3 linked regions of the Stegostoma tigrinum genome follow. The protein of the gene in region 3 purifies or fractionates together with the protein of the main gene of each other region. This does not show direct contact. Links are inferred from orthologs where the notes say so. Each region holds a gene or a part of one and is shown on either strand. Other genes may lie near its edges.

Region 1 (7,897 bases), on a different chromosome or scaffold from region 3:
CCTGTTGCCATCTTTAAAGCAGCCATAGGACCTCCACTGGGGATGTACATTGGTGACAGAATGCCAGCATCCGTTACTATCCAGGGGTGATGCCCAGCCATTTGTGACGAATGACCGTTTAAAAGTCCGAAAGCACCAAAGGCCCTGGAGATATTTGTCATTCCTCGACTGAGGAGGCAAGGGCCGGCAGGAGAAACTGCTGCCATGGCTAGTAAACCCGTTAACATACATCATGTACATATCAGTATCACTGAGCTGCCTGTTCTGGGCGGAAAGGTCCCTTTCCAATGGGAATGTCACACTCCCAGCCGCTGATGGGGATCGTTCGGCGGGAGGGTCACTGCCAGCTATGCGTTGTGTGCGGTATAACTTTAGAACAGTGAGAACTTTTGAGAGCCGGGTCCCCTGCACTACTGCCCCCCGCCTGGTAGGGTTCCTGACGGGAGTGGGCTCCAGAATCCCAGCCGCGGCTCGGCTCTGGGTGCTCGGCCTCCGCGCCACAGAGGGAAATGGTGGCGACCACCATTCACCGGCTCCCTGCCCAAAGCCTGCCGCTTCTGATCTAGGTCCATTGCCCGGACTCCAGCCGCTAATAATCAACCTCCGGACACAGTTCCGGGGCTGGGGGACCCTTACACAACGATCAGCAGAATACAACGCCATCTTAACTGCCCGCCTTAAAGGCGGGGCCCAGGCCTTGACGAACAGGCACAACTAATCACAAGGCTCTATCCTCTGAATGACATTACACCTAGCCACTCAAAACGTGCCGACCTCAGCCAATGACAGTGGCCGTTCCCAATAGGTCCCGCCCACAGGATCTTGATTGACGGCTCAATCTGACGTTCCGAGGAATCACAGGCTGGCACTTCAATTATCGTGGAAAGAGACCGACATCCAAGTCTGATTCCGCTATAAGTTTTAAACGATATTAAGGGAAACTTTATTCGTTATCGTCCATTAGTTGGGAAGGAAACACACGTGCATGCATCGTGTTCCCAAAGGTGAATTGATTTGAACAATAAACATCAAATTTACAAGCTGCAGAAAGTGTTGGGGGCCACTCAGCAGATCTGCACAGATAATTATCAACATTGCAAGGTGGATTGACTTGGGTTAGAAATATTTACAAACTTGGTTTACCGGAAGATAATTTTTTAACAGAAAAATGCAGTTTTGATAAAAAGTCATAGATCTGTAACATCAGTGGTAGAGGAACTTTGGAAAAAGTCTAATGGACTAAATTATTCTCCACTTGGAGAGGCAAGGATTAATAATGGATAACGAGCATGCCTTTGTCAGGGGGGAGATCATGTCTGACAGGTTTGATTGAATTTTTCAAGGAGATGACTTCAAGTATAGATGACAGTAGTAAGACTTTTGTCAAGTAAAACAAAGAATTGCAGATGCTGGAAATTTGAAATATAAACAGAAATTGCTGGAGAACTGAAACAAAAACAGAAATTGCTGGATAAGTTTCTGTAGCAATTTCTGTTTTTAGCTTTTGAAGAGGTCAGGTGGATTGACCATGCTCAATTGTCCATATTATCCAGGCATGTGCATTAGCTGTAGGAAATGTGGAGTTAAGGAGACAGGGTTGGGCCTGGGTCTGGTGGGATGCTCTTTGGGGGAATCAGTGAGACTTGATGGGCCTCTTTCTGCTATGTAGTGATGCTATTACTTTAGGTCTTATATGGCAAGCTGTTTAAGAAGCTAAAAACCCATCAAATCTAGGGCAACTTTGGTATCCTCGATCCAACATTGGCTTCATGGCATGATGCAGAAGTCAAAGGTTGTTTCTGTGACTGGAAGCATGTGTCCAGTGGTGCATTAAAGGGTTCGTTGTTGAATTCCATGCTATAATGTACATTAATGATCTAGATATGAATATAGGTGGCATGATCTGATAGACATGAATACACGAGTAAGGAGGTTATGATGGAGGTTCATACAATGTTATTTGTGCCAAAGCTGAAGTTCTATGTGCAGTTCTGGTCAGCATATTATAGTAAGGATGAGGCTGCATCATAGAATTCCTACTGTGTAGAAGCATGCCATTTGGCCCATCAAGAAAATCACCAACCCTTGGTGCAGGATATTCACCCGGTTGTTGAGTGGGTTCAGCAATTCAGGTATGAAGCAAGAATGGGCAGGTTAGGAAGTGTTTTCCTTACAGCAGGGAAGCTGAGGAGGGACCTGATTGAACTGTACAAAGTAATGAGGGGCATTTAGAGGGCAGATATGAAGAATCTTTTCCCCTTAGTTGTTCAGTCAGTAACCAGGTGGCACACTTTAAGGTATGGAGCAGAAGGTCTAGAGGTGATAAGAGAAAAATAAATTCACCCAAAGGCTGATGAGTATCTGGAATTCATTACCTGAAAGGATGGTACACGCAAGAACCATACAGACATTTGAGAATTATTTGGCTGAGCACTTGAAATTGCCATAGCATAACAGCAGGCCAAGTACTGGAAAATGGTATTACAATAGATAGATGTTTGATGACCACACAGCAATGATAAGCCAAAAGACCTTTTTCCAAAGTGTAAAAACTCAATAAGTAAACATGAATTCTGTTCCTCTCTACCGATCCTATCTGACTTGTTGAGTTATTTCCGTCACTTGAGGTTGCAGACTTGCTTGCTGAGCTCGTGTGTTTGATTGCAGATGTTTTGTCACCATGCTAGGGAGCACTGTCAGTGCACCTCTGGTGAAATGTTGGTGTTCCGTCCCGCTTGTTATTTATATGCGTCGGTTTGCTGGGGTGGTTGGTATCACTTCCGGTTTTATTCTTCAGCAGTTTGTATATCGGGCCCAGTTCAATGTGCTTGTTGACGGAGTTCTGGTTGGAATGCCAGACCTCTAGGAATTCCTTGGCATGTCACTGTTTGGAGAACTACAATGGAAACTGAAATACTTAGTTGACAACACTAACCACTCCATCCACTCCTCTTAAGAATTCCTCAACATCACCTAGGACACCAGAATAGAAGAGGATGAGATAATGGTATCCTTCAAAGTAACAGCACAATTTACATCCATAAACTTCGGCCTAGCGAAAGAGACAATTGCCACACTGCTGGACAAATCAGGAAGGCAAACACCCCATGACACTGACAGTACACTGAAATTACTGGAACTGTGCCTCACAACACAATTCACCTTCAACAGCCATATACTGAAACAAATCAATGGAACACCAAAGGGATCTCCAATATCAGGAATGACAGCAGAAGCGTTAATGCAAAAGTTAGAATGGACAGCGCTCACCACTATCCTAAACTCTGAGTCTACACTGTAGATGACACCTTCATGATTATCAAATGCACAAGACTAGAAGAAACCCACCTACACAAACAACATTCTCACCAGAATAAAATTCACAAAAGAAGAAGAGAACAATAACTGACTATCCTTTCTGGATGTCATGGTAGAACATAAGAATAACAGGGAACTCCAGACTAGTATACACAGAAAAACAAGACATATGGACCAGATACTTAATTACACCAGAAACCATCCCAACACCCATAAACGGAGCTGCATCAGAACATTATTCAAACGAGCTACAACACAATGCAGCAACCCGAACTGCACAAAGCATAACATGAGTACTTCAGCAGACTTTTTAAAAGGAATGGATGCCCAAGAAGCACAATCTGCCTCTGCAACAGACCGCAGCAAGAAGACACAATACAGCCAGACATACTAGTCACCCTACCGTACATCAGGGATATATCAGAGATGACCACGAGACTACTCAGAACCCTAGGTATCAGGGTAGCCCACAAACTAACAATCATCCTGTGACAGCTACTGACGAATGTAAAGGACCCCACCCCACAACCAATAAAACTGATGTAATATACATAATACCATGCAAGGACTGTGAGAAACATTACATAGGCCAAACTGGAAGAAAACTGACAATAAGGCTACATGAACACCAACTGGCTACCAAAAGACACAACCAATTCTCACCGGTCTCAATACACACGGACAAAGAATGACACAAATTTGACTGGACCAACACATCCATAACAGCACAAGTCGAAGACAGACATGTCAGGAAATGCCTGGAGGCCTGGCATTCCAAACAGAACTCCGTCAACAAACACATTGAACTGGACCCAATATACATACAAGTGAAGAACAAACCGGAAGTGATACCAACCACCCCAGCAAACCGAGGTACCTAACTAGCAAGTGGGACTTAATACCAACGTTTCACCAGAGGCATACTGATGATGTTACCTAGCAGAGTGACGAAACGTCTGCAATCAAACACACTGGTTCAGCGGGCAAGTCTACAATCTCATCCACAACCTGAGCTACAAATCTTCGCAAAAACTTTAAACTTCCATCACTTGCATCTGCAGCATTTTGCTTGTATCTGTACTGAACTTTTCTGAAAACTGAAAGAACTGCGGATGCTGTAATTCGGGAATTAAAACTGACATTGCGTGCAAAGCTCCGTGGGTCCGGCAGCAGTCAATGACCAGAAACGTTAACTCTGATTTTTTCTTCACAGAAGCTGCCAGACCTGCTGAGCTTTTCCAGCAACTTCTGTTTTTGTTCTCAATTTTTCTGATTTGGTTTCCATTTCGTTTTTTTCTCTCTCTGTGAAAGTTCCTTAAGACATGTTATGTTAAAAATACCGCATTAATGAAATAAAAGCATTCTTCATCTTTTGCCAAAAACAAATGGGACGACGGAAGGGGCTCGAAGATAACCTGGACATCACCTTGCAAGAAGGTCCTGATGACGTCGACCATGCACGTGCCAGGGCTACGTCAGGCCGACGCACAGCGCAGGCGCAGAGTCCGGCTTGCGGATCGGGGCCGTGCTTGTCAGGATAGGAGATAAAGTTTTATTATCCAACAAAATCGCGGATGAAAAGATGTCGGGCCGGTCGGTGAGAGCAGAGACACGCAGCCGAGCCAAAGATGACATCAAAAAGGTTATGGCAGCTATCGAGAAGGTCCGAAAATGGTGAGCCGCTCTCCGGTAAATACTTTTATTGAAGGGGGAAAGACGACGCACGGGCGGGAGCAACGGCATCCGGCGGCGGAAGTGATGTGAGGGAGATTTGATTGACGGTATGTTCAGCCATTCAAGGACGATGGCGACCCCCGGTTCCTGTGGTAACCGCGTCTCGGGACTGACGGGGAGCTAAGGAGGCGAGACTTCTGGTTGTATTGCAGGACATGGGTGGGCAGGGCCAGTTTGATTCATTTGCTGAAAGTCTCAGAGTGAAGTCAAATCAGTAGTAAAGTAGGCCACGTTCTGGAGCATTATTCTTTTCTGGAGGAAGAGTAGGCTGGCTTCTGTTCGCCCACCAGACTTTTTTTATTAAACATAGCCCTAAGTGTCTAGTCGTAAATGGCCCGTAGTCTTGTTTAAAACTGAGGCCATCAGATAGTGAACGGAAGGTCTGTGTATCATTTCTCTGAGATGTTGGTAGAGCACTGTTCAAGGCATGCAGTTAAATTCCAGAAGTTCTTGTTATTGTTACACTACGGCAGGAGAGACATCACTGATACAGTGGCTGCAGTCTCTAAATCACCTTCAAGGACAAGTGCTGTAGAAGCCTGTAAACATCACCACTTGCAAGTTAATAAAGTATGAAGCTGGATGAACACACCAGGCCAAGCAGCATCTCAGGAGCACAAAATCTGACGTTTCGGGTCTAGACCCTTCGTCAGAGCTGATGATGAAGGGTCTAGGCCCGAAACATCAGCTTTTGTGCTCCTGAGATGCTGCTTGGCCTGTTGTGTTCATCCACCTTCACCCTTTATTATCTTGGATTCTCCAGCATCTGCAGTTCCCATTATTTCCGATACCACTTGCAAGTTCCCTTCCATGTCACACACCATTTTGACTTGGAACTTTATTAACTTTCGTTGTGCATGGGTTAATATGCCGGAACTCCTTATCTGCTCTGTGGGGGTCCTTACATCCTAACAACGCCAGCAGTTAAAAAAGATAACTCACCACCACTTTCTCTAGGGCAATAAATGCTAGTCAGTGATGTCCATATCTCAAACAAAAAAGGTTTTAATCTATGGTCTTGTAAATTTTTCCGTTCCTTCTCCAAACAAATTAAATAAGGACATTTAAATTAAATAATTAATAAATAACGATGTTTCTTATTGTTGCAATGTATTTTCACTTCTTCTGTATTAGGAATCCAGGCTGCCTGTGTTGCAACATACAAGTGTCTTCCACTTCTTTCGCTGCCTGTAGGTATCTATCTGCGCCTACAATGGCTCCCATTCTTGCTGTTGCAATCAAGCCTTTTACCTTAAAGTGCGCCAAAATTTTTATCCATTCATGGGAAGCAGCAAGACAAAGCAACATTTATTGCTGATCCCTAATTACCAATAGGGCAGTTAAGAGTCAACTACATTGCTGTGGGTCTGGAGTCATATGGAGGCCAGACCAGGTAAGATGGTAGTTTCCTTCCCTAAAGGATGTTAGTGAACCAGATAGATTTTCCTGACAACCAACAATGGATTCATGGTCAGCATTAGATCCTTACTTCCAGATATTTATTTAATTCAAATTTCATTATCTGCCGTGGACATACTTGCCTCTGTTCTGTAAAGATTGTAATTTGGAGAAAATAAAATCGAGTAAGAGTGCAGCAGTTGGTTAAGAAACTAATAAGGGATGTCTTTTTCTGTAATAAATTGACATACATAACCAATTGTACCAGGTATATATAAAAGAAAAATACTGCAGGTGCTGGAAATCTGACATAAAAAACAGAGGTGCTGAAGAAGCTCAGCAGGTCTGGCAACGTATTTGGAGCAAGAAAATTTCTGAGATCAGTATAGCTTCTTCAGAATGGAAAGGTGCTGGAGAGTCATAGTTTTTAATGCTATTGATATAGAGGGGAGGAGGAGCCATTGGAACAGATGGTGAATGTGCTCCAAAGCAAAAGATCACGGCAGTGAGAAGGAGTACTAAATATGCAAAGTAGGTATAAATGATGGCCGTAAAAAGGAAAAAAATGAGTCCACTTTGGTGAGAGTTGTATTTATTAGTTCCGGGAATTGGTTGGCACTGCCGCCTCACAGTGCCAGAAATGTGGGTTTGATTCTAACCTTGGGCAACTGTCTGTGTGGAGTTAGCACATTCTTCCCTCGTCTGCACCAGTTTCCACTGGGTGCTGTACCTTCCTTCCCCAGTCCAAAGATGTGCAATGGCCATGCTAGAACTGCCCAGTAGTTATTGGGATGTGCAGCCTAGGTGGATTAAGTTTATTTCTGGAATAGTTAAACTCAATGTTGAGTCCTGAAGCCATTAGCTCCTTAGGCAGAGGATGGGGTTTGTTTCTCCAGCTTGTGTTGAGCCTCATTATCACACTGCAGCAGGCCTGTCACAGAGATGTTGACCAAGGATCATGATGCTGTTTGAAGTGGAAGGCCACTGGAGGCTCAAGGTCACTTTAATAGTCGGAGCAAAGTTGTTGCCCAGTCTGCATTTTGTCTCCCCAATGTAGAATTGACCAGATTGTGAACAGCGAATGCAGAAACCTCATTGAATGAAGTGAAGGTAAATCGATTTCACCTGGAATGTGTGTCTGGGGTCTTGAAGTGAGGAGGGAAGAAATAAACGGGCAAGTATTGTCCCTTCTGTCATTGTATGGGAAGGTGTGATGGGGGATGTGGGCGTGTTGGGCAAGGACCAGGGGAATGGCCCCTCCTGACTGATGACAAGGGAAGGGAGTGAATATTTGTGTGGTGGAGGCATTCTGCCGTAGGTGGGAACAGTGGATTACGATCTTTGTATGTCCAGCCTGACGAGGTGTAAAGAGAAAGGTGTGCTCTATCTTTTGTGGGAGGGGATGGAAGGGGTGAGGGCAAATGGATTGGTCATGGCTGTGGTCCTT
Region 2 (7,601 bases), on a different chromosome or scaffold from region 3:
CCCATCCCCACTCCACTAACCCCAATCCCCCCTCTCCACTAACCCCAATCCCCCCTCTCCACTAACCCCAATCCCCCCTCTCCACTAACCCCCATCCCCACTCCACTAACCCCAATCCCCCCTCTCCACTAAACCCCAACCCCCTCTCCACTAACCCCCATCCCCACTCTCCACTAACCCCCAATCCCCCCTCTACACTAACCCCAATCCCCCCTCTCCACTAACCCCCATCCCCTTCTCCACTAACCCCAATCCCCCCTCTCCACTAACCCCAATCCCCCCTCTCCACTAACCCCAATCCCCCCTCTCCACTAACCCCCAACCCCCTCTCCACTAACCCAAATCCCCCCTCTCCACTAAACCCCATCCCCTCTCCACTAACCCCCATCCGCCCTCTTCACTAACCCCAATACCCCCTCTCCACTAACACCCATACCCACTCTCCAGAAACCCCAATCCCACCCCTCCACTAACCCCAATCCCCCCTCTCCACTAACCCCCATCCCCCTCTCCACTAACCCCAATACCCCCTCTCCACTAACCCCAATACCCCCTCTCCACTAACCCCAATCCCCCCTCTCCACTAACCCCAATCCCCCCTCTAGACTAACCCCCAACCCCCTCTCCACTAACCCAAATCCCCCCTCTCCACTAACCCCCATCCCCTCTCCACTAACCCCCATCCGCCCTCTCCACTAACCCCAATACCCCCTCTCCACTAACACCCATACCCACTCTCCACAAACCCCAATCCCACCCCTCCACTAACCCCAATCCCCCCTCTCCACTAACCACCATCCCCACTCTCCATTAACCCCAATCCCCCATCTCCACTAACCCCAATCCCCCATCTCCACTAACCCCAATACCCCCCTCTCCACTAACCCCAATCCCCCCTCTCCACTAACCCCAATACCCCCTCTCCACGAAGCCCCATACCCCTCTCCACTAACCCCAATCCCTCCCCTCCACTAACCACAATCCCCCCTCTACACTAACCACAATCCCCCCTCTACACTAACCACAATCCCCCCTCTCCACTAACCCCAATAACCCCTCCCCACTAAGCCCACATCCCCCTCCCCACTAACCCCATCCCCCCTCTCCACTAACCCCCATCCCCCCCTCCACTAACCCCAATACCCCCTCTCCACTAACCACAATTCCCCCTCTCCACTAACCCCAATTCCCCCTCTCCACTCACCCCAATTCCCCCTCTCCCCTAACCCCCATCCCCCCTCTCCACTAACCACAATTCCCCCTCTCCACTCACCCCAATTCCCCCTCTCCACTCACCCCAATTCCCCCTCTCCCCTAACCCCCATCCCCCCTCTCCACTAACCCCAATACCCCCTCTCCACTAACCCCAATTCCCCCTCTCCACTAACCCCAATACCCCCTCTCCACTAACCCCAATACCCCCTCTCCACTAACCCCCATCCCCCCTCTCCACTAACCCCAATCCCCCCTCTCCACTAACCACAATACCCCCTCTCCACTAACCCCAATTCCCCCTCTCCACTAACCACAATACCCCCTCTCCACTAACCCCCATCCCCACTCCACTAACCCCCATCCCCACTCTCCACTAACCCCAATCCCCCCTCTCCACTAACCCCAATCCCCCCTCTCCACTAACCCCAATCCCCCCTCTCTACTAACCCCCATCCCCCCTCTCCACTCACCCCAATACCCCCTCTCCACTAACCCCCATCCCCCCTCTCCACTAACCCCAATACCCCCTCTCCACTAACCCCAATCCCCCCTCTCCACTAACCCCCATCCCCACTCCACTAACCCCAATCCCCCCTCTCCACTAACCCCAATCCCCCCTCTCCACTAACCCCAATCACCCCTCTCCACTATCCCCCATTCCCCCGCTCCACTATCTCTGTCACTCCCTCCAGCCCTGACACCCCCTTCCTCTCTGTCACCCCCTCCAGCCCCTACACCGACTCTCGATCTCTGTCACCCACTCCCGCCCCCACACCCCCTCCCTATCTTTGTCACCCCCTCCATCCCCTACACCCCCTCCCTATCTCTTCACCCCCTCCAGCTTCTACACCCCCTCCCTATCTCTGTCACCCCCTCCAGCCCCTACACCCCCTCCCTATCTCTGTCACACCCTCAATTCCCAACACCCCCTCCTTGTCTCTGTCACCCCCTCCAGCCCCTACACCCCCCTCTATTTCTGTCAACCCCTCCAGCCCCTACACCCCCTCCCTATCTCTGTAACCCTCTCCAACCCCTCGACCCCCTCCTTATCTCTGTCACCCCCTCCAGCCCAAACACCCCCACCGTATCTCTGTCACCCACTCCAGCCGCTACTCCCCCTGCCAATCTCTGTCACCCCCCCACACCCCCTCCTATCTCTGTTACCCCCTCCAGCCCAAACATCCCCACCCTATCTCTGTCACCCACTCCAGCCCCCACACCCCTCCCTATCTCTGTCACCCTCTCCAGCCCCCACACCCCCTCCCTATCTCTGTCACCCCCTACACCCCCTCCCTATCTCTGGCAACCCCTCTGGCCCCTACACCCCCTCCCTATCTTTGGCACCTGAACCCCCCTGAATTTCTCTCACTGCTCCATTGGTGACTAAGCCTTTGGTCTCGGGTTTGAGTTCTGAGGAAGGGTCCCTGGAACCGAAATGTTTACTCTGATTTTTTTCCTTCACAAACGCTGCCAGACCCGCTGAGCTTTTCCGGCAACTTCTGTTTTTGTTCCAGCTGACTCATATTTGATTTGAGGGTCAGTCCTGTGAGCTGAGTCGTGATAGTTTGCTTATTATTGAATTACTGAGTGTTAAAGCAGGGCTGGCATAATCCCCTGCCCCTTCAGTGTGATGCCTGGGACAAAGGATTCTAGATGCTCAGTTTAATCAGCTATTTGAGTGCTTTTGCACAGGGAGGCTCTGGTCTGAGTTACCCTCCTCCCACCCCAGCAGCTTCCCCCCATCCCTCTGGCCTGCCCCACCGACAGAGAGTGGGTCACCGCTGAGTGCCAGAGTTGGGGCGTTGTGTTGAGTTTGTGCAGGACATTGGGGGCGCTCTATTCTGCAGCACCATGTGCATTTCTGGTGTCTCCATGTTTTCGGAAGGATATTATTGAGCTGTAGAGAGCTCGGGAGAGATGTACCGGGACGTCACTGGGAATCGGAGGGTTTGAGTCATAAGGAGAGGCTTGAAAGGCTGGGAATTCTGTCACTGGAGTGTAGGAAGTTGAGAGGCGACCTTGTAGAGGTTTATAAATATCATGAGGGTCATAAAGAACGTGAATAGTCAAGGCCTTTTCTCTAAAGTGGGCGAGTTCAAAACTAGGGGTTGTATTTTTAAGGTGAGAGGAGACCGTTTTGAAAAGGGCTTGAGGGGTAATTTTTTTACACAGAGGCTGGTTTGTGTGTGGAATGAACTGCCACGGGAAGTGGTGGGTGTGGGGGACTCTTACAGCATTTGAAAAAGACATCTGGACAGGTACATGAACAGGAAAGGGTTAGAGAGCGATATGGGCGAAACGCAGGCAGCTGGGACTGAGTCAGTTTGGAAAACAAGCTCGGTGGATGGGTCGGACCAAAGGGTCTGTTTCTGTGCTGTAGGACTCGGAGACTGAATCTTTTCACCTTAGACAGGGAAGCAGAGGGGGACTGCTCCCACTCAGCCTCAGAGGAAGGAAGGAGCAGCGACAGGGTGGACTGGCTGAGGGGAGCCAGTGAGTGTGAAATGGTCACTCAGTGCTGAGACTTGGTATCCTGACAAATCCCCATCACATTGACTCAACAATCAGCACAATCCGACCCTGCAGACTCAACGGGCTGAATGTCCTCCTGTACTCTTCTCTGATTTTCTACGTATCTGACAAATCTAAAGGTTGGAGGCAGCTCCTGCTTGTTTGTTTGCCTGGTGTGGACCTTCATAAATTAAGCTTTGGTACTGCGAAGTACCCTGTCTCTCTGTGGAAGAATGAAAGGGATCGACAATTTTGGTTTAATGGAAGTTAAAGGAACACGTTCATGCCATGAGAGTTCAATCTCTTGCAGGACAATTACTGCAAACCTGTTTCCTAAAATGCGCAACGTACTAGTGTTACTGAGGTCGAGCTGGCTATTTAATCCCTGCTTTGGTGCAGGCACATGGTAATGAGTTTTGACCCACATTTGTTCAATAAATCAAACATAACTAGATTCTGTGATTTGTAGTATTTCTAAAGCGCTGCCACCTGCTTTAAAAAAAAACTTCAGGTCTGTGCTCCTTCTTACAAACTTAGAGTGGACCTCTGTAAATTCCACAGCCTCTAACACCTCATCTTCACCATGGACGTCCAGTCCCTATACACCTGTATTCCTCATGCAGATGGCCCTCTGCTTCTTCCTGTCCTGCAGGCCCGACCAGTCCCCCTCCACTGACACCCTCATCTGCCTAGCCAAACTCGTCCTCACCCTCAACAACTTCTCTTTCGATTCCTCCCACTTCCTACAGACTAAGGGGGTGGCCATGGGCACCCGCATGGGCCCCAGCTATGCCTGCCTCTTTGTAGGTTACGTGGAACAATCCCTCTTCTGCTACACTGGCCCCAAACCCCACCTCTTCCTCCGTTACATTGATGACTGTATCGGCGCCGCCTCTTGCTCCCCAGAGGAGCTCAAACAGTTCATCCACTTCACCAACACCTTCCACCCCAACCTTCAGTTCACCTGGGCAATCTCCAGCACATCCCTCACCTTCCTGGACCTCTCAGTCTCCATCTCAGGCAACCAGCTTGTAACCGATGTCCATTTCAAGCCCACCGACTCCCACAGCTACCTAGAATACACCTCCTCCCACCCACCCTCCTGCAAAAATTCCATCCCCTATTCCCAATTCCTCCGCCTCCGCCGCATCTGCTCCCACGATGAGGCATTCCACTCCCGCACATGGACCCCTATTTCAAAGACCATAACTTCCCCCCACCCAGTGATTGAAAATGCCCTCAACCTCATCTCTTGTGTTTCCCACACTTCTGTCCTCACACCCCCTCCCCCCCAACACAAATAAAGACAGAAGCCCCATTGTCCCTCACATATCACCCCACCAACCTCCACATCCAAAGTATCATTCTCCGCCATTTGCACCAGCTACAATCCGAGCCCACAGCCAAATATATTTTCCCGCCCCACACTATCTGCCTTCCATAGGGACCGCCTTCTCCGCAACTCCCTCATCTGCTCCACACTCCCCACTAACCCCACCACCCTTCCCTGTACCCACAGGAAGCGCTATACCCCTGCACCTCCCCCCTCACCCCCCGTCCCAGGCCCAAAACAAACCTTCCATGTCATGGAGGGATGGATAGAGCTCTTAAAGATAGTGGAGTCAGGGGTTTTGGGGATAACGCAGGAACAGGATACTGATTGTGACAGGATAATGAATGGTGGTGCTGGCTCAAAGGGCCGAATGGCCTACACCTGCACCTATTGTCTATTGTCTATTAGATGGGGGTTCACCTGCACATCTGTCAACTTGGCTCCTGTATCTCCTGCTCCCTACGTGGCCTCCTCTAAATCAGTGAGACCAAGTGCAGACTTAGGGGCCGTTTTGTAGATCATCTGCACTCCATACACGACAAACGATGACTCCTTCCAGTTGCAAACCATTTTAACTGCCCCCCCCCCCCCGCCATTCCCTGGGTGACATATCCATCCTGGGCCTCCTCCAGTGTCACAATGATGCCACCCACAAACTGGAGGAGCAGAACCTCATATTCCACCTCGGGAGCCTACAGCCTGATGGCCTTAACGTCGAGTGCAGTTTTAAAATCTTCCCACACCCCCAGCCTCATCTCATGACCAACCCTCCCTCTCATTTCCTTGACCTGACACAACCTGTCCATCTTCTCTCCCACCCATCCATCCCCACCCATCCCACTCACCATTCCCCGCCACCATCTATCTACATCCACCTATCACCGTCCCACCTACCTTCCCCCAGGCCCACCCACCTCCCTCTGTTTATTTCTGAGCTCCCTAACCCCTCCCCAGTCCTGATGAAGGGTCCAGGCCCGGAACATCTGCTTTCCTGCTCCTGTGATGCTGCCTGGCTTGCTGTGTTCCTCCAGCTCCACACTGTGTTATCTCTGACTCCAGCACCTGCAGGCCTTGCTCTCTCCAAGTCACTAAAAGCCCCACTGCTGATGGTCATTTGCTTCAATGATTTGGATGAGAACATAAGGGGTATGGCTGGTCTGCCAAGATGTGGAGGTGCCCGTGTAGGACTGCGGTGGACAGAGGTCAGAAGTCCCAAGACACCAGGTTATAGTCCAACAGGTTTATTTGAAATCACAAGCTTTCGGTGCACAGCTCCTTCATCTGTTAGACTTTCACCTGGTGTCGTGAGGAAGTGGTGGGGGCTGGTACAGTTACAGCATTTAAAGGGCATCTGGACGGGGACATGAGTTGGAAAGATCGAGAGAGATGTGGGCCAAATGCAGGCTCTTGGGACTGGCTTTTGATATGGTAAGTTTACAGGTGAGTCTAAAATTGGAGATACAGTGTACAGTGAAGAAGGTTCCATCAGGGTACAATAGGGCCTTAATCAGATGGGCCGATGGGCCGAGGAGAGGCAGATGGAGTTGAATTCAGATAAATGTGAGATGCTGCATTTTGGAAAGTCACATCAGGGCAGGGCTTAATGGGAAGGCCCTGGGGGGTGTTGCTGAACAGAGAGACCTTGGGGAGCAGGTTCATAGCTCCCTGAAAGTGGAGTCACAGGTGGATAGGATAATGAAGGAGGCATTTGGTACTTGTCTTTATTGGTCAGTGCATTGAGTAGAGGGAGTTGGGACGGCCACGTTGTGGCTGTACTGGACATTGGTTAGGGCCACTTTTGGAAAACTGTGTTCAATCCAGGTCTCCCTGCTGTGGGAAGGATGTCGTTAAAATAGAAAGGGCTCAGAAAAGATTTACAAGGATGTTGCCAGGGTTGGAGGGTCTGAGCGACAGGGAGGGGCTGAATAGGCTGCAGCGATAATCCCTGGAGCTTCAGAGGCTGAAGGGGTGACCTTATAGAGGTTTATAAAATCATGAGGGGCATGGACAGGGTGAATAGACAAGGTCTTTTCCCCCCAGGGTGGGGGGGAGTCTAGAGGGATATAGGTTTAAGGTGAGAGGGGGAGGATGTAAAAGGGACCTGAGGGGTAACTTTTTCACACAGAGGATGGTTGGTATGGAATGAGCTGCCAGGGGAAGTGGTGGGGGCTGGTACAGTTACAGCATTTAAAGGGCATCTGGACGGGTACATGAGTCGGGAAGATTGCGAGAGATGTGGGCCAGATGCAGGCTCTTGGGATTGGATTTTGCCACATCCTTACACTGTGACCCCTGGTTCTGGGCTTCCCCATCACTGGGAGTATCCTTCCTGCATCTACCCTGTCTAGTCCTGTTTGAATTTTACAGCTATCTATGAGAGGCCCCAGTTTTGCAGCGACTCTAATTTTAACCAATTCAGTGTCTCCTCATATGCCAGCCCTGCCATCTCAGGAATCAGTCTGCTAAACCTTGGGTACTGTAGCGATAGGAACCAGCTGGATCTTGTTGGCTACAAGATCCTTGATTGGGCATGTTAACCCTG
Region 3 (7,761 bases):
AAGAATTTCAAAGAATGAGAAACCTACAAAATATTTTAGGGATAAAGAGGAGATGCAAGCAAAATACATCCCTTTGCTGGGGAGTTGAGAAGTGGGAGGGAGGGACGCCATTTAAAAAATAAGGGGAATACCATTTAGGACCAAGATGAGAATTTCTTTTAATCAAAGGGCTGTGAACCTTTAGAACTCTCTCCCCCACCCCCAGAGGGCTGTGGACGCTCAGTCTTTCAGTATGTTTAAGGTATAAATTGATAGATATCTCATTATCAATTGTGCAAAGGGATACAGGTATAGCTAACATGATGCTCAGTAGCAGTGGTGCATCGATGTGCTTCTGAGATTTTATAAAGCTCTAGTTAGGCCCCATTTAGAATACTGTGTCCAAATTTGAGCCCCACACCTCAGGAAGGACAATACTAGCCCTGGAGCGTGTCCAGCAGAGATTCACACGGATGATCCCTGGAATGGGAGGCCTAACATACGATGAACGGCTGAGGATCTGGATTTGTATTCATTACAGTTTGGAAGGTTGAGGGGAGATCTAATAGAAACTTACAAGATAATGTATGGCTTAGAAAGGGTGGACACTGGGCAGTTGTTTCTGTTAGGCAGGGAGACTAGGCACAGCCCTAGAATTAGAGGAGGTCAATTTAGAACAGAAATGAGGAGACATTTCTTCAGCCAGAGAGTGGTGGGCCTGTGGAATTAATTGCCATGGAGTGCAGTGGAGGCTGGGACTTTAAATGTCTTCAAGGCAGAGATTGATAATTCCTTGCGAGATCAAGAATTTAAGGGCTACGGGGAGAGTGCGGATAAGTGGAGTTGAAATGCCCATCAGCCATGATTAAATGGCAGAGTGGACTCAATGGGCCGAATGGCCTTACTTCCACACCTCCTATGTCTTACAGAGCTCAGAACAACTTTCTCGCAAGATGAGCCGCTCATGCTATCAGAGAAAATTTAAACTAATCTGACAGGGGTGTAGAAAGCAAAGGCAGAAACAGACAACATTCGAATAGCCAATAGCAACATACCAGGCAGGGTCAGACTAGGAGTAAGAGAGAAGGAATAAAGTTTAAATTAGGATTATTGTGGACATTTGGGAATGTGCAGACTGGTGAGCAACAAGTGCAAACTGACATATGGGAAGACTAAACTTACAGAAGGACCTGATGCTCAGAATGCTTGAATAAAAGGTGTCCAGGAAAGATACTGCAGTACTGGAGAAAGTGTGCTCCTCAGGGGTGTCAAGTACAAAGTCTGTTTTAGAACTAGGGAACAAGGTCTAATTATATTGCTTGGTGTAGTCTATGGGCCACAAAGTAGTGGGAAAAATGTAGAGGAACAAATTTGCAAGGAAATAACAGAGGCATTAGAATTACACAGAGGAGTTATAATGGGAGAGAACTTTAATAATCCAAATAAAAACTAAGATAACAGTAGCATAAAGGGAAGAGACAAACAAGAGTACAAAGAGTGTGCTCTGGAGAATTTTTCTACAATAGTATGTTGAGTCCAATGCGAAAGATTTAGCTGGGCCTAGATTTTGGGAAGGTGGTGTGTCAAGTGGATCTAGTGCCAGATTAGAGAAATTGGGACTATTCACCTTGGGAACGGCTGAGAAAAGACTTGATCGAAGTGTTCAAAGCCATGAAGGGTCTGAACAAAGTACAGAGAAAGAAACGGTTCCCATTAGTTGAAGGATCAAGAACCCGAAGACACCAATTTAAGACATGAGGCAGTTAGAATCTGGAATGCACTGCCTGCAAGTGTGGTGAAGGCAGGATCAAATGAGACTTTCAAAAAAGACTTGTATTTTTGTCTGAACCAGAAGCATTTGCAGGATAAGGCAGAATGGCAAGAAGCAAACTGCTTCTTCAACAGGCCAGCAGAGTTGAACAACCCCTCCATGCCATAATCATTCTGTGATTACAAGTACAGTAGCAATCTCCCTGGAGTCTTGAACAATATTTATTTCTCAATCAACATCACCAAAACAAATTGTTTATCACAATGCTGTTTGTGGGGGATGGCTGTACACAAATTGATTGCCATGTTTCCTGTGTTATTATTGAGAGTACTCATCAAAAGCACTTTCAGATATTTGGTGGTTGTGAAAGGCCTTATATAAATACAAGTTTTGCTTTTCTGTTAACATTTGCTGGCCAATTTGTGGTGAACTAGGGTTCTCAGTCACTGCCTGAGAGAAACACTATCTACCATACACAATTTACACCTGGTTCTCACAGCCAACAGCTTTCATCACCATCTGCCTGTATTTCAACACAGGACAGAAAATGTTTTAAACTGCTCAGCAGGCCAGGTACATCAGCCACCTTTGAACAAAACCCCTATGATTCTATCAAAGCCACAGGGATCCTGAGAATATCAAGCATTTTTCTCTTTTTAAGTTCAAGTTTCCTACATCAGTAGCATCTTGTTCAGATTTAACCACAACTAGCTTCCAAATTCAAGACTAAGAGTCAAATCTGAACATGACTCAAAATAAAATCTTTTCAACTTACATAACTGTAGAAAAATAATCATAAGACATTACAAACCAGTCTGTTCGGGCCTAAAGAGCAAGGCAAGAATGTGAAGCAGCCTTAGGGGATGCAATCAATTATCCAACTGAAGGAAACAAAGGAAGCTAGGGTCAGGTCAGATGTAGAAAGACCAATCTGGTCATTCAGGAGGCAAGAAAGGAAGCTTGCTGGCTGTGGCCGGTTCGATTTAAGGAATGGGACCTGCCTTGGTCAGGACAAGGGGCCTCGCCTTTCCCCCCACCCCCTTCATCACACATAGTTCCATATCCCGGCCCCTCACTTACCGGGTATCCCTGGCCTGGCATGGCTGAACGGAACATGTTTTGTTGTTGAGCTCCTGTTATCCTGCCCGGGGCCTGCCCCGTCCCTTGTGCTTGGCCAGGCCCCGGACCCGCTGCCATAGCAGCCGCCGCGCCCGGGCTCATTGTCTGGAAGCCTCGCGCCGCCATCTTCGAGAAGGAACTCTTTCGCACCGGAAAGCGATAACACTGCTTCCGGTACGCGGCCCAGCCCGCATGCGTTAATTAATCGCCTGAAACAGCGCCCCCCTCTGGGCGGATGCTGAACTCCAGAGACGGCGACACACTCAGGGCGGAGACTAAACTCCACAAACAGGGCCATCCTCAGGACAAGGGCGAAACTCCAGAAATGGCGTCACACTGAGGGCGAAGTCTTGAACTCCAGAAGCAGCGCCACCCTCAGGGCGGAGACTGCAAAATAACGGAGAAGGCCCCAAGAACAGCGCCAGCTGGTGGGAGAGTTAAATCCACATGGTTTTATTCGGTGTCACGTTGTAACATGTAGTCATTGGGCTAACCAAGGCTTTTCCAGTGAGTTACATGCTGCCTGATCATTGAGAGTTTTTTTTAGAAAGTTCAAAGGGTAAGTGAGGAAGGGAGACAAATAGAAAATAAGTGGAGATTGGCAGTCAATTCAAAAGGGAATGCAAAAGCTTTTTTGGGATATGTAAGTAACAAAATTACATGAAGAGAAGGGATAGATCAGTTAGGGACAAATGCACATCCAAGGTATCAAATGAGTACACTGCATCTGCTTTTAACAATCTTAGCATCCTTACATTTGGCCCATCAAGTCCATACCAACCCACCAAAGAGCATCCCACTGAGATCCACCCTATCCCTGTAACCTTGCATCCCCCTTGGCCATCCCAGCCAGCCTGCACTATGGGCAATTTAGCGTTGCCAATCCACCTAACCTGTATAGTTTTGGACTGTGGGAGGAAACCCATGCAGACATGGGGAGAATGTACAAACTCCACACAGTCACCCAAGGGTGGAATCAAACCCTGGCGCTGTGACACAGTGGTGCTAACCGCTGAGCCACCGTGCCACAAATGAGGAAGCCGCTGTCATACTTAAGATACTGGCTGAGCTCAGGTTTGACGAAGAGAAGAAGTCAGTTTAACCTACATGGTTAAAATGCTTTTAGAAGTGATAATTGGGATTAACATTAATCGTCGCCTGACTCATTTACGAAGGAAAGCTCACATGGATTTGTTAAAGACAAGTCCTGTTCCACTAACCTGATAGAGATTTTTTTAATGAAGTAACACAAATGTTTAATGGGGGTAATACAGCTGATTTGATTTAAATAGGCTTCTGAAAAGCATTTGACAAAGTGCCACATAATGGTCTTGCTGGCAAAAGTGAGGCATGCAAGGGACAGTGGCAACAGGGGTTATGCAGTTAACTGAGTGACAGAGAACAGTTGGGGGTGAAAGGTTGTTTTGTAAAGGAGGAGTAGAGTTTGCCATGTTGAAATGAGGACCATTACTTTCCTTGATCTATATTAATGACCAAAATTTACTTGTCTAGGGCTTATTTCAACAGTTCCAGATGATACAACTATTGTGAACCCTGAGGAGGATGATGATAGAGTGAATGAGGACATTGTGATGTAAGCTGTGTGGTTTATATAGGTTTTATTATAATTTAGTTTAGAACTTGGATTTTGGACTAGTGGCATTTGGGCTTTGATCTGTGTATGAGAGAGAGCTGAATGATTAACTTGCCACTATATCCAGAGCTGTCATTTTTCTTTTCAAAAAAAACGATGAGAGAGGGGTTTTTTTGGAGAAGCAGTGGGAATGTATTTGTATTGGGAAAGCTTACTGAGTAAACAGGCTAAACATTGAGAAGTGCTCGGCTTTCAGTTAAACAAATCAGCTTTTTTTTGCATGAGGAAACACCTATAGCTCATGTCCTGGTGAACCTGAGATGTGTAAAATAGCCTCTTCTAAAGAAGGGCGATATTTAAGAATTGTTAAGAAAATAGGTTACCTCACCATCAGGAGTTTAGCTTGGAAACCCTAGACCAGAAGTGCTTGGTTAGAACCTTGAAGGAGTTATTTGAAGCTGAGAAAGACTAAGGTCAGTTGTATGGACACTCAAGGAATGAATTTTCTGAAGAAGAGTCCCGATCCAAAACATCAACTTTCCTGCTCCTATGATGCTGCCTGTCCTGCTGTGCTCCTCCAGCTCCACACCTTGTTATCTATAGCATTATGTGTTTGTATTTCAATGAAAGACTACCTTGTTGAATTAAAGAAAGACAAGATACGATCTGTCAAGCCAGATTTCTGCCCAGGATCTGGCATTTCCAGTGCTAACATCAGTTGGGATCATAATAACATGGATAGGCTGGTAGAATAGACAGACATGTGGAAAATGTAATGCAAAGAAGCAAACTATATTGATAGGAAGATCAAAGCAAGGCATCATATAAGGTTGGGTACATCTCTAAAGAGGTTGCAGGAGCAGAGTGATGTGGGGTTAAATGTACACAGACTGTGGAATGTGGCAAGGCAGGTTGAGGAAATGCTTCATAGGTGTACAGGACTTTAGGCTTTATATATCGAAGCATTGTGAGTAAAAGCATGTAAGGGTAGCACGGTGGCTCAGTGGTTAGCACTGCAGCCTCACAGCGCCAGGGACCCGGGTTCAATTCCAGCCTCAGGCAACTGTCTGTGTGGAGTTTACACATTCTCCCTGTGTCTGCGTGGGTTTCCTCCGGGTGCTCCGGTTTCCTCCCACAGTCTAAACATGTGCAGGCTAGGTGGATCGGCCATGCTAAATTGCCCCATGGTGTCCAGGAAGCTAAGTGGGTTTGCCATGGGAAATGCAGGGTTATTGAGGGGTGGGGGTGTGATGGGATGGTCTTTGGAGGGTCACCGTGGACTTGATGGCCTGAATGGCCTGCTACTACGCTATAGGGATTCTGTGATGAACCTTTAGAAAACACTGGTTTGACCTTTAGTGGATGATTACGCCCAGTTCTGGGTCCTGCACTACATGAAGCATGTGAGAGGGTGAAGGAAAGATCCATGAGAATGGTCCTGGGGTGAGACACTTTGAGTAGGTTGGAGAAGCTGGGACTATTCCCCTTGGAGAAGAGAAGACTGAGGGGGAATCTGTTCAAAATGAAGAAAGGTCTGGGCAGAGTGGTAGGAAAACTGGTGTAAGGTGATTGGTGAAATATACAAGGGCAGCACACAGTAAAAAACCCTTTTACTGCAGCGAGTGGTTAGAGTCTACAATGCAAGTGGTCGAGAGTGTAATGGAGGCAGGGTTAATCAATGCTTTCAGGAAGGGAATGAGATAAGAATCTGCAAAGGAATCCTATTCAGGGGTACAAGGGGGAGTGGGACTGACTGAGTTCCTCCTTTGGAGAGCCACTATAGACTCAAGAGGCTGAATGACCTCCTGTAAGCTGCTACGGTTCTGTGGATCTGCCATATCTGTGTTGCATAGGGGAAGGTGGATGGTACAAATTCGAGGACGTAAATTGCATTTGGACAAGACCGTGGTTATGCTGCAGGACTACATGACAGCAAAGGGTAATGGTAGGCTGCCATTCAAGAAGAAAGGCTAGAAAAATAGAAGCTTTCTACCCTGTCATAAAGCAAGATGTGATGGAGCCTCACACCACGACAAATCTGTTACCCATCTGGCGAGGCTTAATTCGGTCGCCCCGAGTAGGGGAACAATTTGAATCGATTCATGTTGGGGTAAGAGGGAGAGAGAGATAGGAACTATCTTCACGAGGCTTTGCAGAAATTCACCAAAGATTCTCAGACAACACCTCCTAAACCCATGACCACTTCCATCTAGAAGGACAAGGGCAGCAGACACATGGGAACACCACTGCCCTGCGAGTTCCCCTCCGAGACCTTGTGGAGAAAGAAACGAGAGTTAACGTTACAAGTTCAACGTGACTGCTTTTCGGACTGTGACAAGCCTCATTAAACTCGTCCTTACAGTTTATCTTTACAGTGTACATTCACAATTCATGTTCTGCAGACTTGAAACGCTCACTCGTTTCTCTCCCCACAGACGCTGCCCGACTCGCTGAGTTTCTCCAGCATTCTCTGTGTTTGCTTTGGATTTCTGGCAACCACAGGGTTTTACTTTTAGTTTATAATTCTGTTCTGGGTACCTACCTTCATTACTTCAGACCATTGAGTATAGGAGTTGGGACATTGTGTTGTGGCTGTACAGGGCCATTGCTGAGGCCACTTTTGGAATACTGTGTATAATTCTGGTTGCCTTATTATAGGAAGAATGTTATTAAGTTGGAAAGCATGCAAAAAAATGATTGACAAGAATGTTACCATGACTGGAAGGTTTGGGAAACCTGGATGCGTTGGGCCGAAGGGCCTATATGACTGTGAGGGTGACGCACCACAGTGCAGTACTGAGGGAGTGCTGCTGTTCGCATGAGCCTTTAATCCTGTCACCTCTCTCAGGCAAAGGGGAAAAAATTTGGCATGATACTTGAAGAACAAGGAGTTGTGGTGGAGGCAGGTTCAATGGAAGCTTTCCAAAGGGAATGAGATTGTCATCACAGAAGTGGAAAAACGATGGGCTGAATGGCATCTTTCTGCGCCAGAACAATTCTGGCAGTGTGTGCTTTCCGGCAATCCAAAAGAGGCTATACTTCAAAAACCCTGCTGTAGAGTGCTCGGAAGGTGGGGAAGACACGAGAGAAATGTGCATTTTTTTTAACTGAAAGGAGACGGTAAAGTTCCAAAAGCAGCGACTGGTTCACGCTGCGAGAACTGGGATAGACTTGATGGGCTGAATGTCCTCCTTTGTGATATAATGACTCTATCATTACCACTGCGAGTGTCCTATTTTGAGGATTTTCAATGTTTGTTTCAGATTGCCAGTGTTTGTAGCTTTGCCAGGCCCTGCTG

What was found.
Region 1: the proteins of smarcd1 (region 3) and B-cell CLL/lymphoma 7 protein family member B-like purify together in Homo sapiens (affinity purification with mass spectrometry; 4 studies listed by BioGRID and IntAct, counting the BioPlex papers as one, with this or other methods). This does not show direct contact. The link is inferred for Stegostoma tigrinum from reciprocal best matches to the Homo sapiens genes SMARCD1 and BCL7B.
Region 2: the proteins of smarcd1 (region 3) and zinc finger protein ubi-d4 B-like purify together in Homo sapiens (affinity purification with mass spectrometry; 9 studies listed by BioGRID and IntAct, counting the BioPlex papers as one, with this or other methods). This does not show direct contact. The link is inferred for Stegostoma tigrinum from reciprocal best matches to the Homo sapiens genes SMARCD1 and DPF2.

Annotation. Positions count from the first base shown.
Region 1 is NC_081380.1:13,827,248-13,835,144, reverse strand, and holds the start of B-cell CLL/lymphoma 7 protein family member B-like, read left to right. Parts: upstream 1-4,808; 5' UTR 4,809-4,900; coding exon 4,901-4,992; intron 4,993-7,897. Other genes in the region: uncharacterized protein LOC125464656, read right to left, coding at 1-663. UniProt on the Homo sapiens protein: Positive regulator of apoptosis. Plays a role in the Wnt signaling pathway, negatively regulating the expression of Wnt signaling components CTNNB1 and HMGA1.
Region 2 is NC_081395.1:3,497,497-3,505,097, forward strand, and holds the start of zinc finger protein ubi-d4 B-like, read right to left. Parts: upstream 3,090-7,601; coding exon 2,995-3,089; intron 2,640-2,994; coding exon 2,560-2,639; intron 1-2,559. UniProt on the Homo sapiens protein: Plays an active role in transcriptional regulation by binding modified histones H3 and H4. Is a negative regulator of myeloid differentiation of hematopoietic progenitor cells. Might also have a role in the development and maturation of lymphoid cells.
Region 3 is NC_081404.1:15,151,852-15,159,612, reverse strand, and holds the start of smarcd1 (SWI/SNF-related matrix-associated actin-dependent regulator of chromatin subfamily D member 1), read right to left. Parts: upstream 3,010-7,761; 5' UTR 2,996-3,009; coding exon 2,831-2,995; intron 1-2,830. UniProt on the Homo sapiens protein: Involved in transcriptional activation and repression of select genes by chromatin remodeling (alteration of DNA-nucleosome topology).